Mus musculus: one gene and its partners. The protein of the gene in region 1 purifies or fractionates together with the protein of each later gene. This does not show direct contact. Links are inferred from orthologs where the notes say so. Each region holds a gene or a part of one and is shown in the gene's direction. Other genes may lie near its edges.

The links.
Region 2: the proteins of Hsf1 (region 1) and Smarca4 purify together in Homo sapiens (affinity purification with western blotting; 3 studies listed by BioGRID). This does not show direct contact. The link is inferred for Mus musculus from reciprocal best matches to the Homo sapiens genes HSF1 and SMARCA4.
Region 3: the proteins of Hsf1 (region 1) and Hspbp1 purify together in Homo sapiens (affinity purification with mass spectrometry; 5 studies listed by BioGRID and IntAct, counting the BioPlex papers as one, with this or other methods). This does not show direct contact. The link is inferred for Mus musculus from reciprocal best matches to the Homo sapiens genes HSF1 and HSPBP1.
Region 4: the proteins of Hsf1 (region 1) and Hsp90ab1 purify together in Homo sapiens (affinity purification with western blotting; 3 studies listed by BioGRID, with this or other methods). This does not show direct contact. The link is inferred for Mus musculus from reciprocal best matches to the Homo sapiens genes HSF1 and HSP90AB1.
Region 5: the proteins of Hsf1 (region 1) and Fbxw7 purify together in Homo sapiens (affinity purification with western blotting; 4 studies listed by BioGRID, with this or other methods). This does not show direct contact. The link is inferred for Mus musculus from reciprocal best matches to the Homo sapiens genes HSF1 and FBXW7.
Region 6: the proteins of Hsf1 (region 1) and Bag3 purify together in Homo sapiens (affinity purification with mass spectrometry; 3 studies listed by BioGRID and IntAct, with this or other methods). This does not show direct contact. The link is inferred for Mus musculus from reciprocal best matches to the Homo sapiens genes HSF1 and BAG3.
Region 7: the proteins of Hsf1 (region 1) and Hnrnpa2b1 purify together in Homo sapiens (affinity purification with mass spectrometry; 3 studies listed by BioGRID, with this or other methods). This does not show direct contact. The link is inferred for Mus musculus from reciprocal best matches to the Homo sapiens genes HSF1 and HNRNPA2B1.

Annotation. Positions count from the first base shown.
Region 1 is NC_000081.6:76,476,192-76,480,161, forward strand, and holds the start of Hsf1 (heat shock factor protein 1), read left to right. Parts: upstream 1-1,170; 5' UTR 1,171-1,409; coding exon 1,410-1,526; intron 1,527-3,970. Other genes in the region: ribosome biogenesis protein BOP1, read right to left, coding at 938-1,030. UniProt on the Homo sapiens protein: Functions as a stress-inducible and DNA-binding transcription factor that plays a central role in the transcriptional activation of the heat shock response (HSR), leading to the expression of a large class of molecular chaperones, heat shock proteins (HSPs), that protect cells from cellular insult damage.
Region 2 is NC_000075.6:21,614,989-21,618,968, forward strand, and holds the start of Smarca4 (transcription activator BRG1), read left to right. Parts: upstream 1-1,180; 5' UTR 1,181-1,412; intron 1,413-3,980. UniProt on the Homo sapiens protein: ATPase involved in transcriptional activation and repression of select genes by chromatin remodeling (alteration of DNA-nucleosome topology).
Region 3 is NC_000073.6:4,664,482-4,667,981, reverse strand, and holds part of Hspbp1 (hsp70-binding protein 1), read left to right. Parts: intron 1-3,123; coding exon 3,124-3,279; intron 3,280-3,365; coding exon 3,366-3,462; intron 3,463-3,500. UniProt on the Homo sapiens protein: Inhibits HSPA1A chaperone activity by changing the conformation of the ATP-binding domain of HSPA1A and interfering with ATP binding. Interferes with ubiquitination mediated by STUB1 and inhibits chaperone-assisted degradation of immature CFTR.
Region 4 is NC_000083.6:45,570,462-45,574,547, reverse strand, and holds the start of Hsp90ab1 (heat shock protein HSP 90-beta), read left to right. Parts: upstream 1-1,286; 5' UTR 1,287-1,381; intron 1,382-2,636; coding exon 2,637-2,783; intron 2,784-2,928; coding exon 2,929-3,135; intron 3,136-3,370; coding exon 3,371-3,530; intron 3,531-3,748; coding exon 3,749-3,882; intron 3,883-3,981; coding exon 3,982-4,086. UniProt on the Homo sapiens protein: Molecular chaperone that promotes the maturation, structural maintenance and proper regulation of specific target proteins involved for instance in cell cycle control and signal transduction. Undergoes a functional cycle linked to its ATPase activity.
Region 5 is NC_000069.6:84,902,577-84,906,076, forward strand, and holds part of Fbxw7 (F-box/WD repeat-containing protein 7), read left to right. Parts: intron 1-924; 5' UTR 925-993; coding exon 994-1,503; intron 1,504-3,500. UniProt on the Homo sapiens protein: Substrate recognition component of a SCF (SKP1-CUL1-F-box protein) E3 ubiquitin-protein ligase complex which mediates the ubiquitination and subsequent proteasomal degradation of target proteins.
Region 6 is NC_000073.6:128,522,271-128,526,382, forward strand, and holds the start of Bag3 (BAG family molecular chaperone regulator 3), read left to right. Parts: upstream 1-1,312; 5' UTR 1,313-1,588; coding exon 1,589-1,774; intron 1,775-4,112. UniProt on the Homo sapiens protein: Co-chaperone and adapter protein that connects different classes of molecular chaperones including heat shock proteins 70 (HSP70s), e.g. HSPA1A/HSP70 or HSPA8/HSC70, and small heat shock proteins (sHSPs), e.g. HSPB8.
Region 7 is NC_000072.6:51,467,046-51,471,194, reverse strand, and holds the start of Hnrnpa2b1 (heterogeneous nuclear ribonucleoproteins A2/B1), read left to right. Parts: upstream 1-1,349; 5' UTR 1,350-1,518; coding exon 1,519-1,524; intron 1,525-3,768; coding exon 3,769-3,804; intron 3,805-3,899; coding exon 3,900-4,010; intron 4,011-4,142; coding exon 4,143-4,149. UniProt on the Homo sapiens protein: Heterogeneous nuclear ribonucleoprotein (hnRNP) that associates with nascent pre-mRNAs, packaging them into hnRNP particles.

The DNA of each region.
Region 1 (3,970 bases):
ACAGAGGGAAAAGCTTAGGGGCGTTTCATAAAACAAAGGGACAACTTACGTAGTGGTTCTCAACCAGTGGGTCACAATCCCTCTGGGGCGAGCAACCCTTTCATAGACTATCCTGCATATCAAATAATTACGATTCATAACAGTAGCAAAATTACAGTTATGTTTTCTTTTTGGTTTTTTCGAGACAGGGTTTCTCTGTGTAGCCCTGGCTGTCCTGGCACTCACTTTGTAGACCAGACTGGCCTCGAACTCAGAAATCCACCTGCCTCTGCCTCCCAAGTGCTGGGATTAAAGGCGTGTGCCACCACCACCCGGCAAAATTACAGTTATGAAGTAGCAGCGAAAATGATTTTGTAGTTGGGAAATCACCGCAACACGAGGAACCGTATTAAAAGGGCCACAGCATTAGGAAAGTTGAGAACTTTGAGGATCCAATTCAGTGGAGTCAGCTGTGCATGCCTTCTACCACCTACATTTGATGAATGTAGCAAGCCTACTGAGCTTAGCAACATGGACTAGCAATGGTTCCATGACAACCAGTTCTGGATGCCCTGGGTTCCAATCAGACTTCCATAATCTCAAGTCCTCTTTTGATTCACAACACACCTGACATGCTGGCTTGGTAGCACAGCACGAGCGCAATTACAACCTTTCCCAGGACAGGAAGCACAGATGGAAGGTCCAGAGACTATGGTGAGGGGACTCTTAAAGGTCTCTCCCTTAACACGGTTCAAGCCACAGAACTATCCCCCGGGTTCCAGCGCCCCTCGGCGCAAGTAATGTTCTGCTGAGAGTTCCAAAATAACAGCCCAGACTGGACGATCAGGCTCTAGGCGACCCACACGACACTACACGCTGCGCCACGGCCCGGCCTCCCTGGTCTTGCCAAGTGCCTGCATGGTTCCCAGAGGGATGCTGTCCGCTACTTGGAAGTTACCTCTTGTATCTGCAGCTCCTGATCAGGTTCCAAACGTCGTTTCCCCGGCAGCGATGCCGGTGACATGTGGGGCTTACCACACGCCCCCGCCATGCTGCGCCGCGCCGGCTACCGATCTACTGCCGCTTCCGGCAGCGGGAGCGCCTCGTGTGCCCCCAGCCAGGCTCCGCCCTACCAGGCTCTGATTGGTGAGCAGCCCGGGTGAAGCCATCTTGCGCAGGCGTAGGGTGCGGCGCAAGGGCTGGGCCGGCAAAGTAGGCAGGGGAGATCACGGCGCCTGCGCACAGAGGCTACAGGTCTGGCCCTAGCGAGAGCGCGCCGGTCGCAAGATGGCTGCGGCCATGCGAGGCCTTGCTGTGTGTGCGCAGCGGGCGGCGGAGCGGCCCGGACGGCAGGGGCAGCGACGACACTAGCTCAGCCTTCAGCCACTCTTCTAAAAGGCCACCCCAGCCTCTGCCTGCTTTCGTCCGAGATGGATCTGGCCGTGGGCCCCGGTGCAGCGGGGCCCAGCAACGTCCCGGCCTTCCTAACCAAGCTGTGGACCCTCGTGAGCGACCCGGACACAGACGCGCTCATCTGCTGGAGCCCGGTAGGAGCTGGCATGGGCCGGAGCGGCCTTCGAGGGAGGGTCCTGTGGCGGGAGGGGACCTGCTTCGGAGAAAGCGGCCTGCGAGTTAGTCGGGCTCGCCCGGGTTCAGCCATCCTGGCATCCTAGAGGGAGGACGCCGCTGTCTGGGGAGGAAGTGCGCCCCGCCCCCAGAGCCACTCACGGAGAGTAGGCCGAGACCCCAAATCATCCTACATTTCACCCGGACAATAAGGACGGGGCTTCCAGTACAGGGTCTTTGCTCACAGAGAAATAGTTCCCAGAGTCCGTCTGCGTTTCTGCTTTTTAGGCAATCATTCAGAATAAGTGGAAGGCCTAAGGAATGCATGAGAGAAGAGCGAGAATAGGAGGATGTGGAGCCTAAGCTCAGCCCCGATAGTCTCCAGACGCCAGAGCAGTTTTGCCCGGCCCTCCAAGGGCCGTGTCGAACCCTGTTCTGTTGCCTGGCAGCGGACTGTGTACACCGCACACCCTGCTGGCCCTGCATCTCTGGCTGGCTTGCAGAGGTCGTTCCGTGTTTGTGTTAAGTTGGAAAGTAGAATCTGCTGTTCACATGTGGATTCTGAGGGCCAGAGCGCGCAGAGCTAGCCGATGGTGGTGGCCTGAAGACAGGCCACCCTGATTCAATGGGAACCTTTGGAGGGATGGAGGCGGCTAGGTGCCACCACCTTGACCTTCTGCAAGCCAAATCTGGCGGGTCTCTCGGTCTCTGCGGAGCACTGCCCCCTCGCACAAGTTTCTTAAGCTGGCAAGAATGGAGAAAAGGCCTGGGTGGCAGATGGAGGCCAAGGCTTCTGGCTCTCAGTTGCCTGTTTGTTTAAACTCTGCTCTGCCTAAAGGGTGTTTTGGGAATAAAGAGAAGACTAGAAAGCACGGAACTTCACTTTTCACGAGACGGTCTTTGTGATTATCCCATGGGCTATCCGTGGGCCGCGTTGTTTTCCTGAATGCCATATTCAGTTCACAGCCTGTCCTGGATTTCATACACCTGGGCAGAGAGTATGATCTTACCTTTCTATCTTTCCCCAATTTACCCCCCTCTGTTTTCTTTGACTGAAGGGGAGCTTTCTTACCTAGGTCCAGTAGGACTACCAGGTAGCCTCTGGAATAGTCTGAGCTTAATCCTATTAGGAAGATCCATCCTGTCTGCTGTTTCTGCTTATAGATTGGTACAAATGTGGGCGAGGTGTCAGTGTAGGTTCTTCCAGGACAGGGTGTTCTGATGAGGGCCTCTCAGTGTGAGGATGGAGCTGATCTGCCCTGTCACCTCCTTCCATCCACACAGCTGCAACTCATCTGTGAGCCTTGTTAGCGTGCTGGGAGTCATGGGCAAGTAGTCTGTACTGAGCAGCAGTGGACTGCTATAAGACACGCTGTAAGCAGTGGAGCTGGTATAAGAGACGGTGGTCAGTGGGAGCTGGCATGACCCTGAGTACAAAAAACAAGCTCTGACGTAGAAGTAGAAAAAAGAAAACCCTTGTCTAGGCCATCCAGGGACAGCAGAGCTTCTTGGATCTGGCTGTCTGTTCACAGGTAGGAATTCATGCTCCTGACCCGTGGCCTGTGGGGCATGTACATTGTCTTGGTAGCCTCTTAACAGCATTCCCTGCGGGCCCACTGATCAGGAAGTTTGAGGTCCACATTCTTACTCAAACTTGCAGATAAAAATTGTCTTACCCTTCTCAGGCATATCCTCCTCCTTGAGGGGCCAGGGAGCCTGTCTAGCCCCAAAAGTCTTTGAGCTTTGCTCGGTTCGGCTCCTCATTCCTGCTACAGGAGACAGAACAGATCTCTACCTTTCTCCAGTTCCATGGTTCCACTCCCCGTCCCCGGCCCGCCTTCAGTTACAGGTGCTCCACAAGAACCTCAGGCCATCCAGAGGGTTCCTCAGTCAGGTCCCACGGGACAGCACACCCTTGACCAGATTTAGGATCCCAGTAAGATCCCTGCAGGCGCGTGAACGTGGGTGTGGATGGTCCTCTCTCAGTAGGCTTCTCTTTTTACCCTGTACCAAAGGTGCCTCCAGATTCCGTGCCCAGAGATGCAACAAGTAGGTCGGGACAACAAGTAGGTCGGGCTAAACAGTGAATCCATAGGGTCATTTCTCAATCCTGGCTTTCTCTCTGTGCTTCCTGTGTCCCCTCGGTCAGACACTTGCTAGCATTGTTGGAGAGCCACCTCGGTGCATTTTGAAATGGGGAATGAAGCCCAAATAAAAAAGCCAAAGCTTAGAACCTGTATCTAGCTTTATCCAAATTTTGTAAGATCATTTTGCCCCACCCGTTTTAGAAATATTAAAAAGAAACATGAGAAATAAGTTTGTCTAACTCAAAAGAGTACAGATGGTGGTAGTTTGTGTGTGTGTGTGTGTGTTTTAATTTTCTTCTAGTTTTTAGAAGGTGAATGTTTTTGTGTGTGGTGTGGTT
Region 2 (3,980 bases), on another chromosome or scaffold:
CATGGCTGCCCTGGAACCTCACTATGTAAAAGACCAAGCTGGATTGGTACATGCATGCAGCACTCAGGAAGGAAGATGTCTGAGTTCGAGGCCAGCTTAGTCTAGAGCAAGTGCCAGGACAGCCACGGCTACACAAAGAAAACCCGTCTTAAAAAACTAAAGACAGCCGGGCGTGGTGGCGCACGCCTTTAATCCCAGCACTCGGGAGGCAGAGGCAGGCGGATTTCTTGAGTTCGAGGCCAGTCTGGTCTACAGAGTGAGTTCCAGGACAGCCAGGGCTACACAGAGAAACCCTGTCTCGAAAAACCAAAAAAATAAAAACAAACAAACAAACAAACAAACAAACCATAAAGACACACAACAAAAACAAGTAACACCTTGGTAACAAACTCAAGAGATCCACCTGCCTCTGCCTCCCGAACACTACCAAATATTTTAAAAACTCAACCAGAGGCATGAATCTACAGATTTGGACAGAGTTCTATGCTCCAAGGCTAATGGCTTTCTTGGAAATCAGAAGTTAAATTGTGAATATGGCTGTTTCTACCTCACACTCTGTATTTTACTTATTCATTCGGTTGCCTCCCCACAGACTGTAATAGAGGGCAGCAAGTAGCCGATAGCAGCTCAATAAATATTTGTAAAGCTAATTACTGGGCCTCAGCAGGTTCTGCAGGAAATGTGGCCAGGGCAGAGTCTTGCAGAGCAGGCAGGGCAGCGCCAGAACCAGGATCAAAGCGTTTCCCGGGCCTGCACTTAGCACCGCGTGGGCTCTGCCGGTCCTGGGATAGCTTGGCCATCTCTCCGCTTCTCTTTCCTCCCTGGGTGCTCCAACTGCTCCGAGCCTGAGGACTTTAATTTCATCCTTACTATCTCCCATCTGGACCACCCACCCCCTCCCCCAACCTTTAAGCGTCGCCGCAGTGCTACCCCCACTGCGCATGCCTCCCGGCTTGAGGCCCAGTTTCGTGCCTGGGAGGTAGATGTGCGCTTGCGCAGAGCCGCCCCGAGCCCCCCACAGGGGCGGTGCACCAGGATCTTGTGCAGCCTCTGGGCCCGCCCACCTCCTCGCGCCCTCAAAGGACTAGTACGCGTGCGCACAGCGAATGGCTGAGCATGCGCGCAGAGAGCGGAAGGGTGGGCTGGCGCGCGCACGAGGCCGGCCGGGCAGCGGAAGCAGGGCAAGTGGAGCGGGTAGACAGGGAGGCGGGGGCGCGCGGCGGGCGCGTGCGGTGGGGGGGGGTGGCCTGGCGAAGCCCAGCGGGCGCGCGCGCGAGGCTTTCCCACTCGCTTGGCAGCGGCGGAGACGGCTTCTTTGTTTCCTGAGGAGAAGCGAGACGCCCACTCTGTCCCCGACCCCTCGTGGAGGGTTGGGGGCGGCGCCAGGAAGGTTACGGCGCCGTTACCTCCAGGTAAGGAATGGAGGCTCCCGGGCGGAACCAGGCTCCCGGGGCTTGGGCAAGACGGTTTGAATGAAGCGGAGGCGCCGGGAGGGGGAGGGGGCAGCTGGGCGACCAAAGCGGGGTCGCGGTACGGCGGCGCCTGAGGGTCAAGAAGCCCTGCGCGCGCGTCTCAGGCCGCAGTGCAGCGAGACCGCGGCGGCTTCCTGACTGTGGCCGGCGAGGCGGGTGGCTCTGGGCCGCGTGAAGGCCGCGCGCGCGTTCTCGTAGGGTCTTGGACAAAGCTTCTTCCCTTTGGCGTTTCAGAGATCCAGATCCCCCACTTTAATTTCTGTGGACCCCAACTTTGAACAGTGGCTAGGTGTCGTGGGCTTTTCTGGCCTCGTTTGTAACGGGTGGGATCCCAATGCCCTGTGGTCGGGCGTCGGGAGCAACATTTTTACCTCAGTTATTGATGCCCAGTGTAGCTTGGACACAGTCATGAGCCCTCTTCGGTCTCCAGACCTTACTTTCTTCATGTTTATTATTTTTTTTTTTGATAAATTTCATTATTGCAGATTTTGAAGGAAAAATAAAGAATTTCTTCCATGGCTTCAAAATGTTTGCCTAAAAAGTGAAAGATGCCTGGGGACGTTTGCTCTCGGCGGCATTGTTTTTCTTTTGAGTCCCTTGGCCCTTCCCAGTTTTTAAGATAGGGTTTTTTATTTTAAAACACCGAAGGCAAGTGTTTTGTGCGGGTCCGAAGACATCTACTTGATCCCTTTTACCTCCAGTGACTCCTCAGGAACTAGAAACAAGTTTTTGTTTGAACTGACAGACAGCCTTTGAGTTTGATGCCCAGCGCCGGCTGCTGTCAGCTTGCTGTGTGGCCTTAGGCGAAATCGCTAATCTCGCCAAACCTCTTGGTTTCCTCCTTTGTACAAGGGAATTACTTTCGCTGTTAGGATTGGGAAGAACTAGGCAAATCGTTCCTACATCATCATTATTCTGATTTTGAAGACAGACTCTTATAACCTAGGCTGACATCCAGCTCCTCATGTAGACCAGGCTGGCTTCATCCTCACTTTGCTGCCTCCACCTCCCAAGTGCTGGGATGATGTTCAGCCAGGCTTCCTGCCCTGTTCTTTGTTCTTGACTGGTCCAGCAGATAGTTGAATCTTTTACTTTGTGTTACATGTCTGGTAGGGGAATGGGCAGTAAATATGGGGACGTTTCTCCTTGGCCTGCATGTGTATTAATTCATTAAGAAGTTTTGGGTTTGTTTTGATTCTCCTGGCCCCCTTCTGTTCTCACTGTATAGTCCTGGCTGTCCTAGAACTCTGTTACCGGCTGCCCTCAAATTCACACAGATTGGCCGCCTCTGCCCTCTGAGTACTGGGATTAAACTCTTGCATTAGCAAAGCCCTTAAGGCCACTTATGTTTTATTTTTATTTATTTATTATTTTTTATTTTTTAAGATTTATTTATTATTATATCTAAGTACACTGTAGCTGTCTTCAGACTCTCATTTCGGATAATTGTGAGCCACCATGTGGTTGCTGGGATTTGAACTCAGGACCTTCTAAAAGGCAGTCAGTGCTCTTAACCACTGAGCCATCTCTCCTGCCCTTGTTTTTTTTTTTTTTTAATTAATTCAGTTTTGTTTGTTTTTTGTTTTTCCAGACAGGGTTTCTCTGTATAGCCCTAGCTGTCCTGGAACTCACTCTGTAGACCAAGGTGGCCTTGAACTTAGAAATTTGCCTGCCTCTGCCTCCTGAGTGCTGGGATTAAAGGTGTGTGCCACCATGCCCTGTTTATTTGTTTTTTTGAGACAGGGTCTCTCTGTGCAGCCCTGGCTGTCCTGGAACTTGCTTTATAGACCAGGCTGACTTCTAGCTGAACTCAGAGCTGCCTGCCTCTGCCTGGGATTCACACTGAGCCACCAGTGCCAAGCAGTTTAAAGCATTACAATTCCTTATTTATTTGTGTGTGGAGGTCAGAGAGACTTTGCCGGGGTCATTTCTCCCCTCCTTCATGTGGTTTCCCGAGATTGAACTCAGGTAGTCAGTTTTCAGTGCAAGTTACCTGTTGAGTCATTTCTCCTTTCCCTAAGTCTTAAGTGTGTTGAATTTTTGAGGTGTTGATCAAAGTTGATCCTGTACATGCTAGGGAAGTAAGTGTCCTTCCACCAAGCTAGTATCCTGCAAGCATTGTTTTGATTTTGCTATTTTTTTATTAATGTGGGTTTTTTGTTGTTGTTTGTTGTTTTGGGTGTTGTTAAGCTTGGAATCCATGGCACTGTGCATGGTAGACATGTATTGTATGTATGTATGTATGTATGTATGCATCTCTCTAACCCTTTGGCCTGCCGTTTAAGCCTCATACCCTATCTTGTGAAGGGACAGAGTGGTTGCCCAAGGGAGCAGTGGTGGGCATGTCTAGAAGGTTGCATGAAGGAGGAATCTTCATTCAAAATTAGGGAAGATGTGTCTCCCCTGGCCCCATAGCTGGGAGTGGAGCGATGTCATCACAGCTGCTGCTCTGTCTGTCTCCAGCAGGCAATAATGGGACAGGAGAGGGGTGGTCCTTGGGAGGGATGA
Region 3 (3,500 bases), on another chromosome or scaffold:
CTTGAGAAAGAAAATAAGCTAGAGAGATGGCTCAGCAGGTTTTTATTTATTTATTTATTTATTAAAAAAGAAGCATACTGCTTTTGCAGAGGATGAGCAGCGTTTCTGGTATCCACATCGGGCAATTGTCACTGCCTATGACCCCAGCTCCAGAGCACATAGTGGGTACAGACCTATTTTTAAAGTTTTCTAAGGTATTTATTTATTTATTTATTTATTATAAATAAGTACACTGCAGCTGTCTTCAGATGTGCCAGAAGAGGGCGTCAGATCTCATTACGGATGGTTGTGAGCCAGTATGTGGTTGCTAGGATTTGAACTCAGGACCTTTGGAAGAACAGTCGATGCTCTTACCCTCTGAGCCATCTCTCCAGCCCCTTTCAGTTTTAAACTTTTTTAAATTTATTTTTTATGAGTTTATGGGTATTTTATGTGGATGTGTGCCTGTACAACTAAGTTGTATGCCTGGTGCGCAGCTCTTCAGAAGGAGAAGTCCACTGGATCCCTTGGGACTGAAATTACTGGTGATTGAGCCACCACGTGAGTTCTGAGAAATGAACCTGAGTCTTCTGGGAGAGCGGCCCCAGAGTTAAGAGCTTAACCACTGAGCCATCCCTCTTGCCCCTGCATATGGACTGTTAATGATCTTTTGTGTCTTTATGTCTTGCTAAGTCTCAGAAGTCTGTGGTATGCATTTTACACTCAGCACATCTCAGTTTAGGTGTAGAGCTTCCAAAGGTTGGTGTATAGTTTTACTAAAACAACAGAGTTGTGTTTAGAGGAAAAATGTACTGCCTTTCTGGTTGTTGACTTTCTATTTCAATGAACTTGAAAGGGGACAGACAGCCCAGCTCCTTAGTCACACTTGGCACATGTGAGGTACCTAGTGGCCTTGAACTTGCAGTGGCTTCTGTCTGAGCAGTGAAGGCTTGGAGCTTGACCTTCCTGCAGACGCATCCCTGGTTGGCTGTTACCCTGCTTGACGGCTTCTCAGAATCCTTGTTGCCTTCGGAAGAAAGATCATACATGCTCTGAAGCCTGGCTGTCGTGTCTGTTAAATGGGAATTTAAGACACGTGTGGTGCATTCCTTTAACCCCTGCATTTTGAAGGTGGAAACAGTAAGGCTAAGAAGAACTCGGGTCATCTTTGGTTGTGTGAGCAAGCTGGAGGCCAGACTGAGACCTATGAAACCTCATCTTAAAGCTGATAAATAAGGCTGGGGAAATGATTCAGTTGGTAAAATGCTTGCAAGCATGAGAACCTGGGTTCAGATGCCCAGTACCGTGTAACAGGACAAACAAGGAGGCTTGGGGCTGTAATCCCAGAGCTGGGGAGCAGAGATTTGGTAGTCCTTGGAACTCCTAGTAATTCAGCCTGCTATAACCAGGGAGTTACAGGTTCAGTGAGAAACCCCGCCTCAATGAACACGGTAGGCAGTGATTCTGGACAACACCGGGCTTGACCTCTGGGTTTCACGTGCACGATACACATATGTATCATGTACACAAACAGAAAAAGACCAAAATAAGTAAATGACTGAATGAATGAGAAAATAGATAAATTTGGAACCCAAGAACACCTATCTACTGGGTATATGTGAAAAGTAAAAGGTGATAATGCACAAACATGTGCTGTTGTCTCTACAAAGGCAATTTTGGAAATTTGGCTTCTCTAAAAACCACAAAAATATCCATTCATAGGAGGTATCCAAAATATTATACACAAAAATATTATAAGAATATGTTTTTGTTTTAATCCCAGGTGTGGGATATGGGGCTGCTTCAGATTGTCCATAGCAGCTGACTGTGATTTGCCTCATGCTTTAGCAGGGGCATGATTTTGCCAGGTGCAGATAGTTTCTGTAATTGTGTGATGGTTATAATTCGGGAACTTTTCAGAGGATTTATAAATAAATAAATGCAAGGGTTCCAAGAGGCAGGGGTGGTTGTTGATTGCTGTTGATCATAGTGTGTTAAGTAGTCAGTGCACAGAAAGAAGAAACTACAAGAAGAGATTAGATACTTACACTAAAGATCAGTCTTGCCCCAATCAGCAATGCCTTAATCAGCAGGAAGTAGTCTAACAAAAACGTTGCCTTCCCCCTTCGGACCCCTGACTTTATTCAGGGGTCTCTTTCCTTTTCTCTCTATCCTTTTTTCCTCTTATCCAGTGCTAGGAGATTGAAAGGGTGAAAGAAAAGGGATGGAGAAGGGTGGAAGAAAGAACAACCCACAAAGTAGCAAAAGACAAGTTACATGCCTCTAAGATAGAATATTGCTCTAGTGTAAGAAGAAATGAAGTAGTTACAGAATTCTTGAAAACATTTAATTGAGTGACTAAAACTAGATACAAAGGTTTGTGTTGTGTGAGTCCATTCAGAGGAGGTATCCAAGATAGGCAAATCAATAGGGAAAGAAACTAGACCTGTGGTGGCAGAGGCAGGAGGGACACTTGAGAATGGGAATGTCATCCACTGGGTACCAGCATGATATAAATGTTCTGGAGTTGTGATAGCCATGGCTGCATAGCTTGTGAACATGCTAAAAAACACTGAGTTACATGCATTAAGAGGGTGAACTCTGGGTTATGATGATGAACTATATGATGGTGATGGTGGTGGCGGTCATGATGCTGCTGCTGCTGCTGACAGTGGGATGGTGGCAGTACCACTGATGGTTGAAGTGATGGCGGTGGTGGTGATTGTGATGATAGTGCTGGTAAATGGAAGTAGTGACTACGTAGTAATGATAATGCTGGTTGTGATGCTAATAGTGATTTGGTGGTGAGGGTGTTCATGGCTGTAGCAATGGTGATAGTACAGGGGATGATGGCTATTAATGGAAATGGTGGTGGTGGTCAAGGTGATGATGGTGATATTGACGGGTTTAGTAATGGTTATGGTATTGTGGTGCTGCTGATGGTGATGGTGGTGCTAGAATTGATGCTGATTGTGATGGCAATGATGATAAGAGTGAATGGGTGGAGTTAGTTGTAGTAACTGAGATGGTGGTGAGAGGGGTATAGTGGTGATGGTCACAACGCTAGTGGCGTTGGTGCCTGTGGTGGTGGTGATGCTGAAGGCCATAGTGACTGGGACCTCAGAGCTCTGCTTCTCCCTCCAGGTCTTGTCCGAGAGCAGGAGGCTGGGTTGCTGCAGTTCCTCCGCCTGGATGGATTCTCAGTGCTGATGCGGGCCATGCAGCAGCAAGTGCAGAAGCTCAAGGTCAAGTCAGCATTCCTGCTGCAGAACTTGCTGGTGGGCCACCCTGAGCACAAAGGTGAGCAGATGGCCTGACAAAGGCATCTGGGGCGCATGGGAGTGGTATGGGAACGTCCTTGCTGACTCCCACAGCTCTTCCCCCAGGAACCCTTTGCTCCATGGGGATGGTCCAGCAGCTGGTGGCCCTTGTGAGGACAGAACACAGTCCTTTCCATGAGCATGTGCTTGGAGCCCTGTGCAGGTAGGTGTGCCGGGGTCCTAGGAGGAGGGGGCCTTGTA
Region 4 (4,086 bases), on another chromosome or scaffold:
AGGCACTGGCACAACTTGGTTTTCTGGCTCCTGGAACTGGGCCAACCTGTGACCAGCACCTTCATGCGGATGCCTAGAACTCCAGCTTCTCTGAAAAGACTGGGACCTGCTCCTCTCTAGGTCCAAAGAGCTGCATGCAGTAGGGAAGAGGCTAGAGAAGCGAAACCAGCTTGAGAAACAGCTTGTGCTCACATAGGGAGGGCGCACGTACCCGCGCGCTGTGTACGTGGGAGACCGGGGAGGCTGAGGGGTGGGGAGTGTTCTACCCAGTAGCGCAAGCTGCTAGCTCGGTTCTCTGTTCACTAGAAGGTGTCCGCAGTCACTCACCCCCACAGCCCCCGTGCCCTGTGACCGATCCAGGTCAGCTATCCCTCCCTCTGCGCTCCACTCCCCCACTGTTATGTGGGCCTCTTAGGGCCACGCGTGGAGGGTCGTTCAACCCTGGCCCACGGTAGGCAGACTTGGGGAAAATTTCTTCCCAGGGTAAGATCAAGGTAGGGGAAAAAAAAAAAAAAAAAAAGCCACCCAGCCAAGCGGCGACGAAGACACTGCCCCCGCCGCAGCAGGGGAGGTGGAGCCTAGGGGGGAGGGGTGGAGACCGCCGAGACAGGCCTAGAAACTGCTGGAAGAAATCGCAGCACCACCGCTGCTGATCCTTCCGCCGCAGGCCGCCAAAGAGTCCCTACCAGCCCAGGCCCGTGCCCCTCCCCTCGGGGAAAGCGGCTCCCAGCCTGAAGCTGTGCTGTACCCGGGAGGGTGGGGATGGGGGAATCGGGGGCCTCCTTAAAGTTGGACAAGGAATTTATCATCCTTTTCTCTTGATGTGCGATTTGTAGGGAACATTCTAGTAAGATCGGGTCTGGAAATGGCAGCCGAGTTGGCCACCTCCATTCTCTTTCAGTCCCCTGAGTTCTGGACTCTTGGGGGGTGGGGGGGTGGAAGCGCCTACCTTGAGTTTTCTGAGGCAGTCCGTAGGGTATTCGCCCGCAGATACATCCCTAATTGCATATGCATGCTCCCTGCTCATCTTGAGGGGGGACATGTCCTACTCCTGCAGAAATGGGGGATGTGCAAAACGATATTGAATTGGCCTTGACTCAGGAACCAGGCCCGGGGTCCCGCTCCTCCCCGCCCCCTCCACGATCTGCTACCATGACGTCAAGGTGGGCGGGCGGCGGCAGGTGCGTGGCCCGCAGCCACTCCTTTAAGGCGGAGGGATCCAAGGGCGGGGCCCGGGCTGTGCTTCGCCTTATATAGGGCGGTCGGGGGCGTTCGGGAGCTCTCTTGAGTCACCCCCGCGCAGCCTAGGCTTGCCGTGCGAGTCGGACTTGGTCCGGGCCCACCACCCTGCTCTGTACTACTACTCGGCTTTCCCGTCAAGGTAAGGCCGGGGTCTCTCGTCCCCGGCGGCTCTCCGGGGGCTTCTTCCCGGGGTCCCAGCCTCCATCTCATCTGTCCCAAAGCCTCCTTCCCCGGCGGGGCAGCCTGTGGAGATAACGTGTCTAGAGGTTAGAGGTTCGGGCTGTACCCCGGCGGGCTTGCACGCGAGGCTCCCCGGGGCGGGTGGATTCCCCGGAGCGTGGGGTGGGGGTGCGGCCCGGCCAGGTGGTGGGCGGCCGCACGTGGTAGTCGCCGACCCGGGACGCTGCCATGTTTGCCCTCCACTTCCGGGCGCGGCTGCAGGGTCCGCGCGGTGGCGGGCTGCTCTGCGTGACTCAGCAAGGCCTGGGGAGGTTGGCCTGGCTGCCTCCCCCGGACGCCGCCGGTACCAACGTGCTTGATTTTGGGGAGGGGTGCACAGCAGGGACGCCGGAACCCACCGCGCTTTCCCTTTCCAGATCTTTCTGCCCTCCCAGTGGAGGGCGGGGGAGGAGAGACAGAGCAGGCACGAGAAGATTCCTAGGTCCCTCCCTTTCTCCTCCCCTCCCCGGAGCTCAGATTGTTCTGGAAGCCTGGGCGCCCCGCCCCAGTGCCCGGATGCTGGGGCGGTGGGAGGGTTTCAATGGCGCCCCCTCCCCGTGTGGCTCCTGCCGACGCATGTCCGGCAGTGACGAGGGTCGTTGGACGGCTGGGCCACCATTTTACTTGGGTTCCGGCCTATGCAAGTCTGCACAGTGAGTGGTCACGGTGGAGCTCTTGATTTCTTTGTCCTGATTTAATTGCCCCGTGAGCGCCTCCCAGACTACAGCTTCAAGGTTCTCTTGCCCTGCTGGGTGGAATAAAATAAAAATTAAAAAAGACTGCTTTTTCTGTTAAAGTTGTTCCTCACCCCAATGAGGAGATTGTAGTTAAGGGGTGTGAGTACCAGGGGTTGCTTGAGGTTCTTTTTTATGTATTGTTAACTTAGTCTGGATTTTTACCATATTGCCAGGTGTTCTGTTCAGAGTCAGTGAGCTATGCACTGAACATGCCAATGTTCAAGAGTTTGACTTTTGGGCATCTGTTCTGGAAAACCCATCTTTTAGGTTTTTTTCTGTCATTTTTGTCTTGGCCATTGTAGCTTAAATGTCCTTTTTTAAAGAAAATGGCTGCTCTTGTCTCTTTGGGTTGGATACTTTCCCAGACTAAAGAAGTTTGAGCTGGATATTAAAATGTGTGTCTATAATGGTCCTTAGTAGTAATTCTTTCATTCTTAGATGCCTGAGGAAGTGCACCATGGAGAGGAGGAGGTGGAGACCTTTGCCTTTCAGGCAGAAATTGCCCAGCTCATGTCCCTCATCATCAACACTTTCTATTCAAACAAGGAGATTTTCCTCCGCGAGTTGATCTCTAATGCTTCAGATGTGAGTATTCTGTTGTTGAATTTCTAAGGCTTCACGGAAGTGTGTGTGTGTGTGGGAGTGATTGAGAAGAACAGTTCAGTTGATGTTGAAGGGGGAGGGACTGTTTGGAAAAATAAAATAATCTGGCTTTTTGCGTTTACTACAGGCCCTGGACAAGATTCGATATGAGAGCCTGACGGACCCTTCTAAGTTGGACAGTGGGAAAGAGCTGAAAATTGACATCATCCCCAACCCTCAGGAGCGCACGCTGACTTTGGTGGACACAGGCATTGGCATGACCAAGGCTGACCTCATTAATAACCTGGGAACCATTGCTAAGTCTGGCACGAAGGCGTTCATGGAGGCTCTCCAGGTGTGTGGCCTTTCATCCACACCGTCCTCTAATTTGTTACTGCTTAAGTTAAAATTTGTCTGTCTAGGGTATTACATATTAGGACACTTATTAGAAAAAAAGTACAAGTGGTTGGTCAGGACAGCTTTGACCCCTAGATCTCTGGACATTGAACTGATTGTTACCTTGCGCAGCAGATGGTTATACTTGGCCAAGAACCATGTTGCTGATCCTCTTTACTTCAAACCCTTTGCAGGCTGGTGCAGACATCTCCATGATCGGGCAGTTTGGTGTCGGATTCTACTCGGCCTATCTAGTTGCAGAGAAAGTGGTTGTGATCACGAAGCACAATGATGATGAGCAGTATGCCTGGGAGTCGTCTGCGGGTGGCTCCTTCACCGTCCGGGCAGACCATGGTGAGGCAGCAGGCTACATTGTGGGGAAACCTTAGACGTTGTATTCTATAAAAGTACATTTTAAGGGGTGGTGAGTGCCAGCACTTGGGTGAGTTCTTAAGGCAAGCAAAGGGGCTACACAGGAATCTTAGCTTGCTTGAGAAACCAGGAACGAAAAAAGCGTAGTTCGTTCTTGTATTTTAGTTTCAGTTTTTCATGTCTTGATTTGTTCTCTGTAGGTGAGCCCATTGGCCGGGGTACCAAAGTGATCCTTCACCTCAAAGAAGACCAGACAGAGTACTTGGAGGAGAGGAGGGTCAAGGAAGTGGTGAAGAAACATTCGCAGTTCATAGGCTATCCCATCACCCTCTATGTGAGTATGGGCTTGGCAGTGTTGGAGCAGGCTAATGGCACTGGGCCTTGCTGGTGCTACATTCTCCACAATTAATTACATGTGTCATTGGTGATTTAGTTGGAGAAGGAACGGGAGAAGGAGATCAGTGATGATGAGGCAGAGGAAGAGAAAGGTGAGAAAGAGGAGGAAGATAAGGAGGATGAGGAGAAGCCTAAGATTGAA
Region 5 (3,500 bases), on another chromosome or scaffold:
CAAATTCTAGCTCATGGACTAGGTTCTTGTAAATTCATTAACTAGTTAATTAATTTATGTATGTGGGTATTTTTGTTTCTATATATGTCTGTATATACCTGACCTGAAGAAGGTGTCAGATCCTCTGTAACTGGAGTTACAGATGGTTGTGAACCTCCATACAGGTGCTAGGAATTGAACCTGTGTCCTTTGGAAGAACAGCCAGTGCTCTTAACTGCTGAGCCATCTCTCCAGCCCCACTCATGGGCTCTTGTATCTTGTATACTAAACATCTGGATTTTATTCTCATTCTCCCCACCCCCTTTCCATCAGTGAGCCTCTTCTGTATAAAGTTCCCTTTCCTATTTTCAGATCCTTAGGATAGGCTACCACAAGTGGAGTTACTGGGTTAGAGAGTATGGACTTTTGTGTGTTTTTACCTACAATATTTAGATTTGTTGTTAATTGATTTATATTCATTGTAGAAGATAAAAATTACAGCGATTGTGCTTCTTATCTGAAGGTAAGGTTTTATGGTTCAGGAAGCTTGGGAAATTGCCAGGATAATAAAGCTCCTTGAAGGGGACTTATGCCAACATCCCTGAACCTTGCTGGTCACTTTATAGGTGGCTTTGTTGTTGTTGTTTGTATATGTTTAATAGTTAGTGAATGATTTATATAGGAATTATTTTATTGGCTAAGTTATATCTTATTGATCCAAGCAACTAAACCACCAAGCTTTTAGAGATTTATGAGAAAAGGTAGTTAAAAGTCTTTAGTATGATTTTTTTTGAAAAAAATTATAACTTACTTAATTTAAAACTTATTTATTACTAACGAGCGCGTGAATCTTTAATTATATACTTAGACTATAGGCAAATGACACGAAAATAGACAGTAACAAAGATTGTACAAATCTTGTTTATCCCCCTTTTCCTCCTACAGAATGTGAAAACCTTTGCATCTTCTGATAGTCTAGCCAAGGTCCAAGAAGTAGCAAGCTGGCTTTTGGAAATGAATCAGGAACTGCTCTCTGTGGGCAGCAAAAGACGACGAACTGGAGGCTCTCTGAGAGGGAATGCTTCCTCAAGCCAGGTTGATGAGGGACAGATGAATCGCGTGGTTGAGGAGGATCCACAGCAGCAAGCGAGACATCAAGAGGAGGAGCACACTGCGCGGAATGGTGAACTTGTGGGTGCAAACCCTAGGCCTGGAGACCAGAACGATACCCAGCAAGGACAAGTGGAGGAAAATAATAACCGCTTTATTTCAGTAGATGAGGACTCTTCGGGAAATCAGGAAGAGCAAGAGGAAGATGAAGAGCATGCTGGGGAACAGGAGGAGGAAGAGGAGGAAGAGGAAGAGGAGGAGGAGATGGACCAGGAGAGTGATGATTTTGATCCGTCTGATGACAGTAGCAGAGAAGATGAACATACGCACAATAGCAATGTCACAAACTGCAGTAGTGTCTCGGACCTGCCCGCTCACCAGCTCTCCTCTCCATTCTATACAAAGACAACAAAAGTGAGTACCTTTAGTCCCCTTCCAGCTGGTATGCTACCTCGCTAGTTCAGTTATAGTGAAGTCATCCTTGCAATCTTCACATGCAGAACAACTTTAGTAAGTCAGTTTTAGTTTGTTAAAGGCTTTAGTGTTAGAAATACAGATACTAATAAGAAGTCAACTTAATTGCAAAACTAGGGGGTGCGGATTGATGTTGTTTACCACCAAAAAAAAAAAAATCACCAGCTTCACCTTTGCTGCCAGAGTGGTTTGGGTGAGTGTGCAGGGTTGGTGTGAAATATGATGTGTGTAAATTAAGTAATGAAGAATCTTATTTGCAGAGTAGCTAATGTAGTCACTGTCTGTCGTTTCACCAGCGTTAACTCTAATGGGTAAGTTAGTGGAAGTCACAGCAAATAGTTCTGCGTTGTTGTTCAGAAGTTAACCGTGGCTCATGGATGTCTAAGTAGACTAGCTTTCAGTTAACCTGTTCTAGGGATTGCATGGAGTGACAGGTCACTTGTTCTACACACATAAAAACAAACAGTCCACATCAGACATCCCTTTACTCATTTGCTGATTTTTAAATTTAACAATGAATCATTGGATTTAGTCTGTAAATACCTGTAAATTTAACAGTATCTCTTTCAATATGGTTTGACTTTAACTATAGTATCTAATACAGTTGGCTTAAAATTCAATTTGCTGAATCAGTTTTGTTTTTAGGTTGTAAAACAAACTGTCTCAGAGAACGTTTGTACCTCTAATCTCCAGAGCCTGGTCACGTTGTTTTATTTACTTGCTGGCATGGCTTAGGAAGGAAGTGGCATCAGGTCATGGCTCTCTCCCATTTAACTTTCTCAAAATGGAGGGTTTTGGTCTGGGCTGATTCTTAGTGTTTTGCCGTTCTTTTTATTTCCGTCATAGCAGTTTAGAAAATCCTCTAGCACTCTGGAGGGCAGGGCAGGAAGATTATGAATTCAAGGCAAGACATTCTCTCAATTGCTTAAAAGACGTTTTAAAAGTTACCTGTAGCTGTATTAAGACTTCACATATCGAAATCTATTAATAAGAAGAAATTTATACTAATTCAGTATTTTATTTTGGAGGCCTTTACATCTTTGATCATTATAAAACAACAGAATTGTACAGTATCCTAGGCTGCAGTTTCATTTCAGTCCGCAACGTGGGGCCTTAGAGAAGAGTAGGGCTGAGATGGGAATCCTACTGGAGAGGCAGGTGTGGCAGCCTCATCACTTAAGGCAGGAAGATTGTTGTAGATTTCAGGCTGGCCTGGGCTGTATAGTGGGTGTGAGTCTGGGATGGACTGTTCAGAAGACTTTTATCTTTGAAAGGAAGAAAACGTCTTCCACGTTCTCAGTTTGCTTTAAAAATGTCCCTGTAGAAGTCTCCAGCAATCCTGACCGCAGCTCCACTTAGTGTGTCATTCTGCAGCATTTCTGCATTAATGAGAAAAGGCGTGTGTTCTCTGTTGCATTGGTTTACTCTACAGAGCACAATGGAGACTGTCCAGACTAAGGGCAGTTTCCTGCCCTTGGTCATTGAGCTTTCCTTTTTTGTGAGTGTAGAGAAGACGGACAGCAGTTTTGACCTAACTGTGAAGTGGGCACCCTTAAGTGCTGAGTATAACAGTGGCCAGTGGTTCAAGGCAGACTTGTACTAGTTCTTAAAATTTCTGAACTCTTGACAGGTTTTTTGAGGTGCTTTCTGTCCAGGTGACTGACAGACCCATTTGGACTAACTCTTAGTTATAGGGAACAGTCTCTGCTCTTTATAAGAAAGCCATGTTTCCTCTTGGGGCCATTAAGTTTTGTTCTTAAGGGAATATGCCATAAGCAGTATAGAGTATATTAGATACTAGATAAACAGATCGGGAATTCTAATATTAAGTGTCAAGGCTAATTGTAGTCAATAATTGCTGCTTATTAAATACAAACTGTTTACACGTTCCTGAATAGATAAGTAAACAGGTTATAGGGAGCCCAATGGTTCACTCC
Region 6 (4,112 bases), on another chromosome or scaffold:
TATTTTTTAAATAGGGCATTGCTAGGCGTAGTAGATGGTAGTGTGCACCTTTAATCTCAATACTTGGGAGGCAGAACTATATAGATAGACCATATCTTTAAAAAAATATCCACAGCCAAGCAGTGGTGACACATGCCCTTGATCCCAGCACTTGGGAGGCAGAGAGATGGATCTCTGTGAGTTCAAGGTCAGCCTGGTCTACATAATTAGCTAGTTCTAGGACAGCCAAAACTACACAAAGATACCTTGTATTGAAAAACAAGCGAAAAAATTCACTTTGTATTCAGTCTTCAATAAACATCAATCTTTATTCCTTTATTGAAGATGGACTCTGGATTTAGCCACGTGCTGGGTGGGTTCAGGTATAAAGAAGCAAAAGACAGACACTGACCAGTGAGTGAATCTAAGTGTCTAGACCTTTCAATGTGACTATCAAATGATAATAAGTCAATATTCCCACATTTGGGCTTATACAGGTGTGTTTGGTGGCACCAGGCAGTACCTGAAGGCTAACTATGTTAATACTTATACTGAGGCTTTGAGACTTCAAAGTCAGTAAGAAGGTCTTTGGAAGTAAAAAAAATCAGCTTGTTGGAAATGTCTGGCAGAGTCCTCTAGTATTTGCCACAGAGTAAAAATCGGAGGGGAAGAGGCCAGAGATGTATCTTTGAAGGTCCCAGGACATTCTCTGAATCTGAGTCAGGAAATTGGCCTCAGTATTGGTTCCAGGTGTTTCTGAAGTCTAGTCACTGTGCGAAAGTGCCTATATAGAAGGCCAAGAGCACAAAGTTGTCACTTTAGTCCTTGCTTCTTCAGTTTTCCAAAGCAGGCAGGTGAGTTTCCACAGCTCTTTCTTTTTGTTGTGACCTCAGATCAGCATTCCAGAATTTCTCAGAAGTCATAAGGCCCTTGAGAAAAAGTTACTAAAAACGTCACTGCAGGACGCCAGCGTCACTGAGTGTGAAGAGAGAGAAAGAACTAGACTTTCCGAGTTTAAAGATGATTTAGTCCTTACACAAAGGTGGGGCCCCAGGTGTCGGCCCTTGGACTGCTAACCCCGGGACACCCCCACGCGGCACGAAAGAGTGGTGGGGAGTCCGGAGACAGAAACCAGCCAGAGAGCACAAGGACACCGGTGCGTGTCAACCTGGCGCGAGGCGCACAGGCCCCAGGACACACACAGGACAGGGATAGGGAGGGACAGCCTGGGTAGTCTAGGAGAAGGAGGGGCGGGTGACAAATCCCCGCCTCCGATCCCTCCCAAGGTCCCGCCCCGCCGCGATTATAGCCTATGACTCAGGGCGGAGCTCCGCATCCAACCCACGGCGGCCGCCAAGTTCTCTGGATGGGACCAGAAGTTTCTAGCCGGCCAGTTGCTGCCTTCTCTTTATCTCCTCCTTCCCCTTTGGCAGCTAGGAGGCTATTTCCAGACACTTCCACCCCTCTTCGGCCACGTCACCCAGTCCTTTAATTCATAAAGGTGCCCGGCGCCGGCTTCCCGGACACATCGGCTACACAGAGGTGCCCGCACTCCACGACCTCGTGACCCGCGCCCTAGCTCTGCGCCCCGGGCGGACCCTAACCCAGCATGAGCGCCGCCACCCAATCGCCCATGATGCAGATGGCGTCCGGCAACGGAGCCAGCGACCGAGACCCCCTGCCCCCGGGCTGGGAGATCAAAATCGACCCGCAGACCGGCTGGCCCTTCTTCGTGGACCACAACAGCCGCACCACGACGTGGAACGACCCGCGTGTGCCCCCCGAGGGCCCTAAGGTGAGTGGAGCTTGCCGTCCCACCTCGACGGCGAAGGGGCCTGGTCGAGCCAGGGCTATGCGAGTCACCCCACCCCGCGCCCTGCTGCGCAAGGAGAGTCCTTAACCATATCCGCCTCGAACGGGCGTCGGGCCGCAGAGAGCCGCAGGCAGGGTGGCCTTGGACGGTAGCCAGCGGGGTGCGACCCGCGTGGTGACATCGGGTGGTTTTCCACAGCCTCTTGCGAAGGGCGAAGGGCAGTGGTGGCCTGAGCTGCGGTGCGCCGCGTCCCAGGGAAGGGCGACCGGCCTGATGAGCGGCTGAGGCCCAGGCCAGGCCCGGCCGCCGCCTCTCTGTCCCGCGCGTCCCGTGCTGAGACCCTGGGCTCCCTCCGGTGCTGATGGCGCACGGCCAGGATTGAAAGGCTGCTGAGTGGAGTCTCCTGTGGGGATTTCACTTTCAAATTCAGAACTTAGTTGAGGCTTATCTTGAGTTTACTGGATCTTAGGCATAGAGTGACTCAGGAGGCTCGAGTAAATAAGTTATTTTCCCCCATTAAACTTATTATTACTGGTCGAAACTGCTTTCAGTTAGAGAAAATTCTGATACTACCACTATTTTTTTTTAAGATACTCTTTCTGACAGTTCCAAAACTAAAGATCAGACATTGTATCACCATACTTAGCCACTGCCTTAAGACTCACACTGGAGTGAAAGAATGTATTTTTAATGGCGTGATTCCTTGTTGTCCTTTTCAAATACTGGAGTTTTGTTACCAGAAACAGCTGAGGAGTCTGGTGAACACTAGGTGTATGCTTCATTTGCATAGATATTCAGGTTTGTGTACTTCAATCTAAAAAGCAAGAAAAATTGAAAATACAAATTTGGAATGAAGCCCAGCCTGGTTCAGGCCTGTCATCCCAGCACCCAGGAAGCTGTGGCGAGAGGATCTTGAGTTCAAGTCTAGCCAGGGCTATATAATCGGAGTCTATCTCAAAAGTTATTAAGTAATTAAGTTGGAATGAAACTAGCCTGTGTTGCAAAATAAGACCTTGTCTTTTTTTATAAAAAAAAAGAAAAAAAAGATTGAGCTGGGCAGTTGTGGCACACCTCTTTAATCCCAGCACTTGAGAGGCAGAAGCAGGCAGATTTCTGAGTTCAAGGCCAGTCTGGTCTACAGAGTTCCAGGACAGCCAGGGCTACACAGAGAAACCCGATCTCGAAAAACCAATAAAATAAAATAAAAATAAATAAAAATTCGATTGAATTTTGAGTGAAGAACTTAAAAATACAAATTTAGGTAGGATTTTTCTTGTTTGTTTTGTTTTTCTTTTTTTAAAATTAGATATTTTTTTATTTACATTTCAAATTTTATTCCTTTCCTCATTTCCCCTCCGAAAACCCCCCTATCTCATTCCCCCCCTCCCTGCTCATTACCCCACTCACTCCCGCTTCCCTGTCCTGGCATTCCCCTACGCTGGAGCACAGAGCCTTCATAAGACCAAGGGCCTCTCATTGATTTCCCACAAGGCCATCCTCTGCTACATATTGGGCTGGAGCCTTGAGTCCCTCCATGTGTACTCTTTGGTTGGTGGTTTAGTCCCTGGGAGCTCTGGGGGTAGTGGTTGGTTCATATTGTTGTTCCTCCTATGGGGCTGCAAACCCCTTCAGCTCCTTGGGTTGCTTTGCTTTTCAAGACAGGGTTTCTCTGTGTAGTGTTGGCTGACCTGGAACTCACAGAGATCCTCCTGCCTCTGCTTTCTGAGGCATGAGCCACCACCATCCGGCCACGTAGGATCTTTGAAAATATAGTTAACAGAAGTCATATTTAGCATAATGTTCAGTAATAATTTATGTACATTTGGTCCTTTCAAAATGAAAAGTTTGGTAAAGTAAATGCACTTTAAAATAGGACTCTATCATCAATGGGAGGAGAGGCCCTTGGTCCCGTGAAGGTTCTATGCCTCAGTATAGGGGAAGGCCAGGGCCAGGAAGCAGGAGTGGATGGGTTGGTGAGCAGGGGGAGGGGGGAGGGGATGGGAGTTTTCAGAGGGGAAACTAGGAAAGGGGATAACATTTGAAATGTAAATAAAGAAAATATCTAATTAAAAAAGGAAAAAAGAAAAAAAAAAATAGGACTCTACTTTGGGCCTGACCTGGTGGTACACAGCTTTAATCCCAGCTCTCAGAGGCAGAGGCAGGTGGATCTCTGAGTTCAAGGCCAGCTTAGTCAATAGAGAAATGTTGCCTCAAACAAACAAAACAAAACAAGAAGAAATACTCTTAACTTATTACTTTCTGGAAAAAAATAAAAGCAGTAAAGAGTTTATAAATTGTTTGGTATTTTCAAAAACTCACC
Region 7 (4,149 bases), on another chromosome or scaffold:
GGAGCCCGTCCCCCACCCGAGAGCGCGGGCCTCGTGGTCAGCGCCTCCGCGGGGAGAAACAAAGGCGGCGGCGGGGGCTCAAGGGCACTGCGCCACGGGCCCGCGCCTCCCCCATCCGGCGGCGGCCACGTAGCCGGGAGCGCGCCGCAGCCCGGAGCCTCGGGCCTCGCAGCTGCAGAGCCTGAACCGCTCTCTCCCTGCGGGCCTGCGACGAGGCTGGGGGAGGGGAGGCCCGCGCTTTGTCTGGAGTCTCGGTAGCTGTCATCCGGCTCCCACCCTCATGCACAATTGTCCCATCTCCCCCACGCACCGGCGCGGCGCCCGCCTCAGCGAGGCCCCAGCCGGTTTCCCGCAGCCCGCGGCCCACGGGGCTCGCAGCCTCCCCGCAAGCTCGGACGCACGGAGCATCCTAAACCCCACCACACGCAAGATCGAAAAAAAGCAAAGGCACGAACTTCACCGCTCCGATGCTCAGGGCCGCGGATCCTGCAGAGTCTCCCGCCTGCGCGCTTCGGTTCAGCCACATCCGAGGGGAGGGGGCGCGGGCAGCTCCGCCGGGGGGGAGGGGGAGCACCGCCCACGCCCTGGCCGCGCGGGGCCCGCCGGGAACGCGTCCTGCGGGGGGCGGCGCGCGCAATGCTCACCGTCCGCGGCGTGGCGCCCAGGGGGTCTCCTGGCTGGGGGGAGGGGGGGGAAGGCGGGCAGGAAGGACCGCGGAGGCCTCTCTGCGTCTCGGAGCGCGCCAAAGCGGGGCTCCACCCACCTCCTTGCCCGGATCTTGAAGGCCGGGGAGATAAACAGCGGGGTTCTTTAAGCACCACCTCTCACTAGGCGCGGGATCCCAAGGCTTGTGGCATCCGGGGTGGTACTTGGACTAAAAGTCCTTCTGGGAGGGACCGAGTGAGAACCCCTTTGGGACGTGTAGAAATATTTGTGTGGTTCGAGAATATTTGTGCGGACGGGCTTGGCAAAGGCGTAGCTGCAGAGAGCACGCTTGGGTGGAGAGGGCCGCACGCCCCAGCGCCGGCCTAAGCCCCTCCCGACGGCGTTATTTCAAACTGCGCGACCGTTTCTCCGCTCCCTACGCGGAGGTGGGGGCCGGACCTAGTTCCGGACGTAGTAACACGCCGAGCGCGAGCCTTCCGCAATTCACGGAACACAGTTGCGCAAGTGATGTAAAGCAGTCCCGCTGTACCTAAAGGGGGAGTGTCACGTACTTGGCGTAAGGAGAGTGTAGGCCCTTCCCGCCATTGGCGGCGGTTAGGGCGTTTACGTAACGGCGTGACGTAAGCGGAGACGCGTTAGTGGGGGGAAGGTTCTAGAAAAGCGGCGGTCTCGGCTCCAGCGGCAGTAGCAGCGGCGCCGGTCCCGTGTGCAGGAGCTCCTTTGCGGCCCAGTTTCTTGGCCATCGCCTGCTCTCCCCACAGCGCCAGGACGAGTCCCGTGCGCGTCCGTCCGCGGAGGTCTTTCTCATCTCGCTCGGCTGCGGGAAATCGGGCTGAAGCGACTGAGTCCGCGATGGAGGTAACGGGTTTGAAATCAATGAGTTATTAAAAATGGCATGGCGAGGCCGTAGGCACCGCAATGGAAACCGGCCACCCGCCTCCGTGGTCCGGCGGAGGGGATGCGGCCACTCGAGTGGCGGTTGGCCTTGGCGAGTTTCTGAGGGGTCGTTGGAGGAGGCCTCTGATTGTCCGACCGCCTTCCCCGCCCTCAGCCGCCCGGCGCCATTTCCCTCAGTTGGGGTGGGGGATGGGAAGTGCCCGCCGCGACCGGGCTGGACCGCTAAAGTAGCGCGTGAGCGGGCCATCGCTGGCCTTTCGATGTGCGCGGGCCTAGGGGCTCGGTTGTGTTCGCGGCGGAACGTTTCTGGGGCCCCCCCGGCTTCCCGGAGCGAGTCTGCGAAGCTTCCCCTCCCCCCTCTCCCGGGAACCGGATTTGGCGGCCGCCATTTTCCCGTCTCCTTCCTCGCCACGATTTTGCTTTCAACGCTTTAGGTTTACTAGTTTGGTTTTCTTTTTTCACCACTGCGTAGACGTGTTTAGCGATTTTCCTTTCTTTTGGAAGTCTTCATACCGTTTCGAGGTGGATTTAGCGTTTTGAGCTTGGGTCTTCAGCGTCCTGCGCACCTCGCTAAAGGCTCTCTGCCTTCCCCTCGACGAAATGGCGCCATTGCTTTCTGAAGCCACCGAGGCGCGGGGTGGGGGCGGGGTGGCGGCGCTCCACGAGCTTTACTGGAACAGGCAGAGAGAACGTAGTACAACCGAGGCCTGGGCGGGTGGCTGAAGGCAGCGTCGCTGCAAAGAGACCGTTTTATTTTTCATAATACGTAAGATTACGGGTGCTGTAGTAAAGCACTTGAGCATTAGTATAGTAGGAGGAAGTCAAAGTGGAAAAAATGGGAGCGCTCATCAGGAAGCTAGGGAGGCTATGTTGAGTGCAGGGTTACTTTCCTTTTATTGCAGAACTTTTATCTGCTTAAAGGATCCTCGGATCGAAATAATTCAAATTATAAGCATTTTTAAGGGAATCTTCGAATTTGTTGGTAAAGTCAACGGATCCTTAGCACGTGGTGTTCACTTTAAGGAAGTGAAATAGCTGACTTTTCATAGTTAGCCTTCGCTTAAAGCCTGGTTCAGTGGACGAAAATCCACGTCCTGGCTATATAAAAACTTAGTTTGGGGTCACAGTGTTTGAGCGTGGTCATTCGGTTTTTTTATTTTTTATTTGTTTGAAATTATGATGCATCATTACACTGATAAGCATTAGCTTTCGAATTGAAAGGGGTCTCCTTGGTTATTTTCTTTGACTCTAAGCACACTTATAAATAAAATAACCTTGTTTATAATCGATAGTGGACGTCTGGTAAGTTTGGAAAAAACCCGAGGTAAGTAAAGAGCTTTTGCTTTCGTTAGTGATATGAAAAAACAAGGTGTATTTAATACTTGCAACTTAGTTTAAGGAAAGCCAATTTACTGACATTTTAGTAGAGCTACCAGAAACACTATTTGGAGTCCTGATTAAGGCTTTTGTAACTATTTTGACTATTTAAAACAATTTTGGTCGTTTTTATTAAACATTTCAAAACCTAAAAATTGTAAACATTGGCTTTTTGAGCACATTTTGGAGAAACTTACAAATTTAGGCTATACAGTAAAATAACGGATTTGTTTTATAATTTTGCTTTTTCATTTCGTTGTGCAGTCATAGGTCCTGGATAGTATGACCTAATTTATGAACATCTTGATAAGTTTTTGTACTTAGCTATTGGAAAGCCAGTATTAAGTGCCTGACAAAACCAGATTTAAGGTGATATCTGGAGTTTCAGCATTCTTCATGGAGCTTGTTTCAGAGTTGCAGGATTTTTTTTTTTCATCTTGAGATACTTACAATTAACACCAGAGGGGGCAGCTCAGGGAAAAGCAAATATGCCACTTTTCAGAAACTGAATCTTGGAAGTGGTGAATTTGGAAACAGGTTTTTTAAATTTTTTTTAAATCTAAAAAGTAGTAAATTTTGGACTTGGGTTGTAGAATTTAATGAATTACAAAAGAATTCTTTAATACCCTTTAAATGACCTAAGAGCTGGGTATGGTTTTTCTGAATTTTTTTGAAGAAAATCTAAGAAAGTTTACGTGAATTAGAAGTTAGATCGAATATTAGTGACTTTGAAACTTGTATAGCTCAGGCAATTTTTGGTGTAACACAACTAATATGCAGTTTAACATATGGTTTAAATTTGATGTAAGTTTTTTTTCTCCCCCCCAGAAAACTTTAGAAACTGTTCCTTTGGAGAGGAAAAAGGTACTCTACCAGCAGGTCACCTCATATTTAAGAATTTAATTTCCTGCATACAAAGAAAGTGTAAATAAAAATTGAAATGGTATTTCCCTTTGCAGAGAGAAAAGGAACAGTTCCGAAAGCTCTTTATTGGTGGCTTAAGCTTTGAAACCACAGAAGAAAGTTTGAGAAACTACTATGAGCAATGGGGAAAGCTCACAGACTGTGTGGTACGTACGTTAACTCTGAAAGTCTGGCTGTATGTTTGGGTGTGAATACTAGGGAATACCAGTATCAATACATTCTAATTTATATTGCTACCTAATGCCGGGAAATTAAATGCTTATCTTTTGGATTTAAAGGTTATGC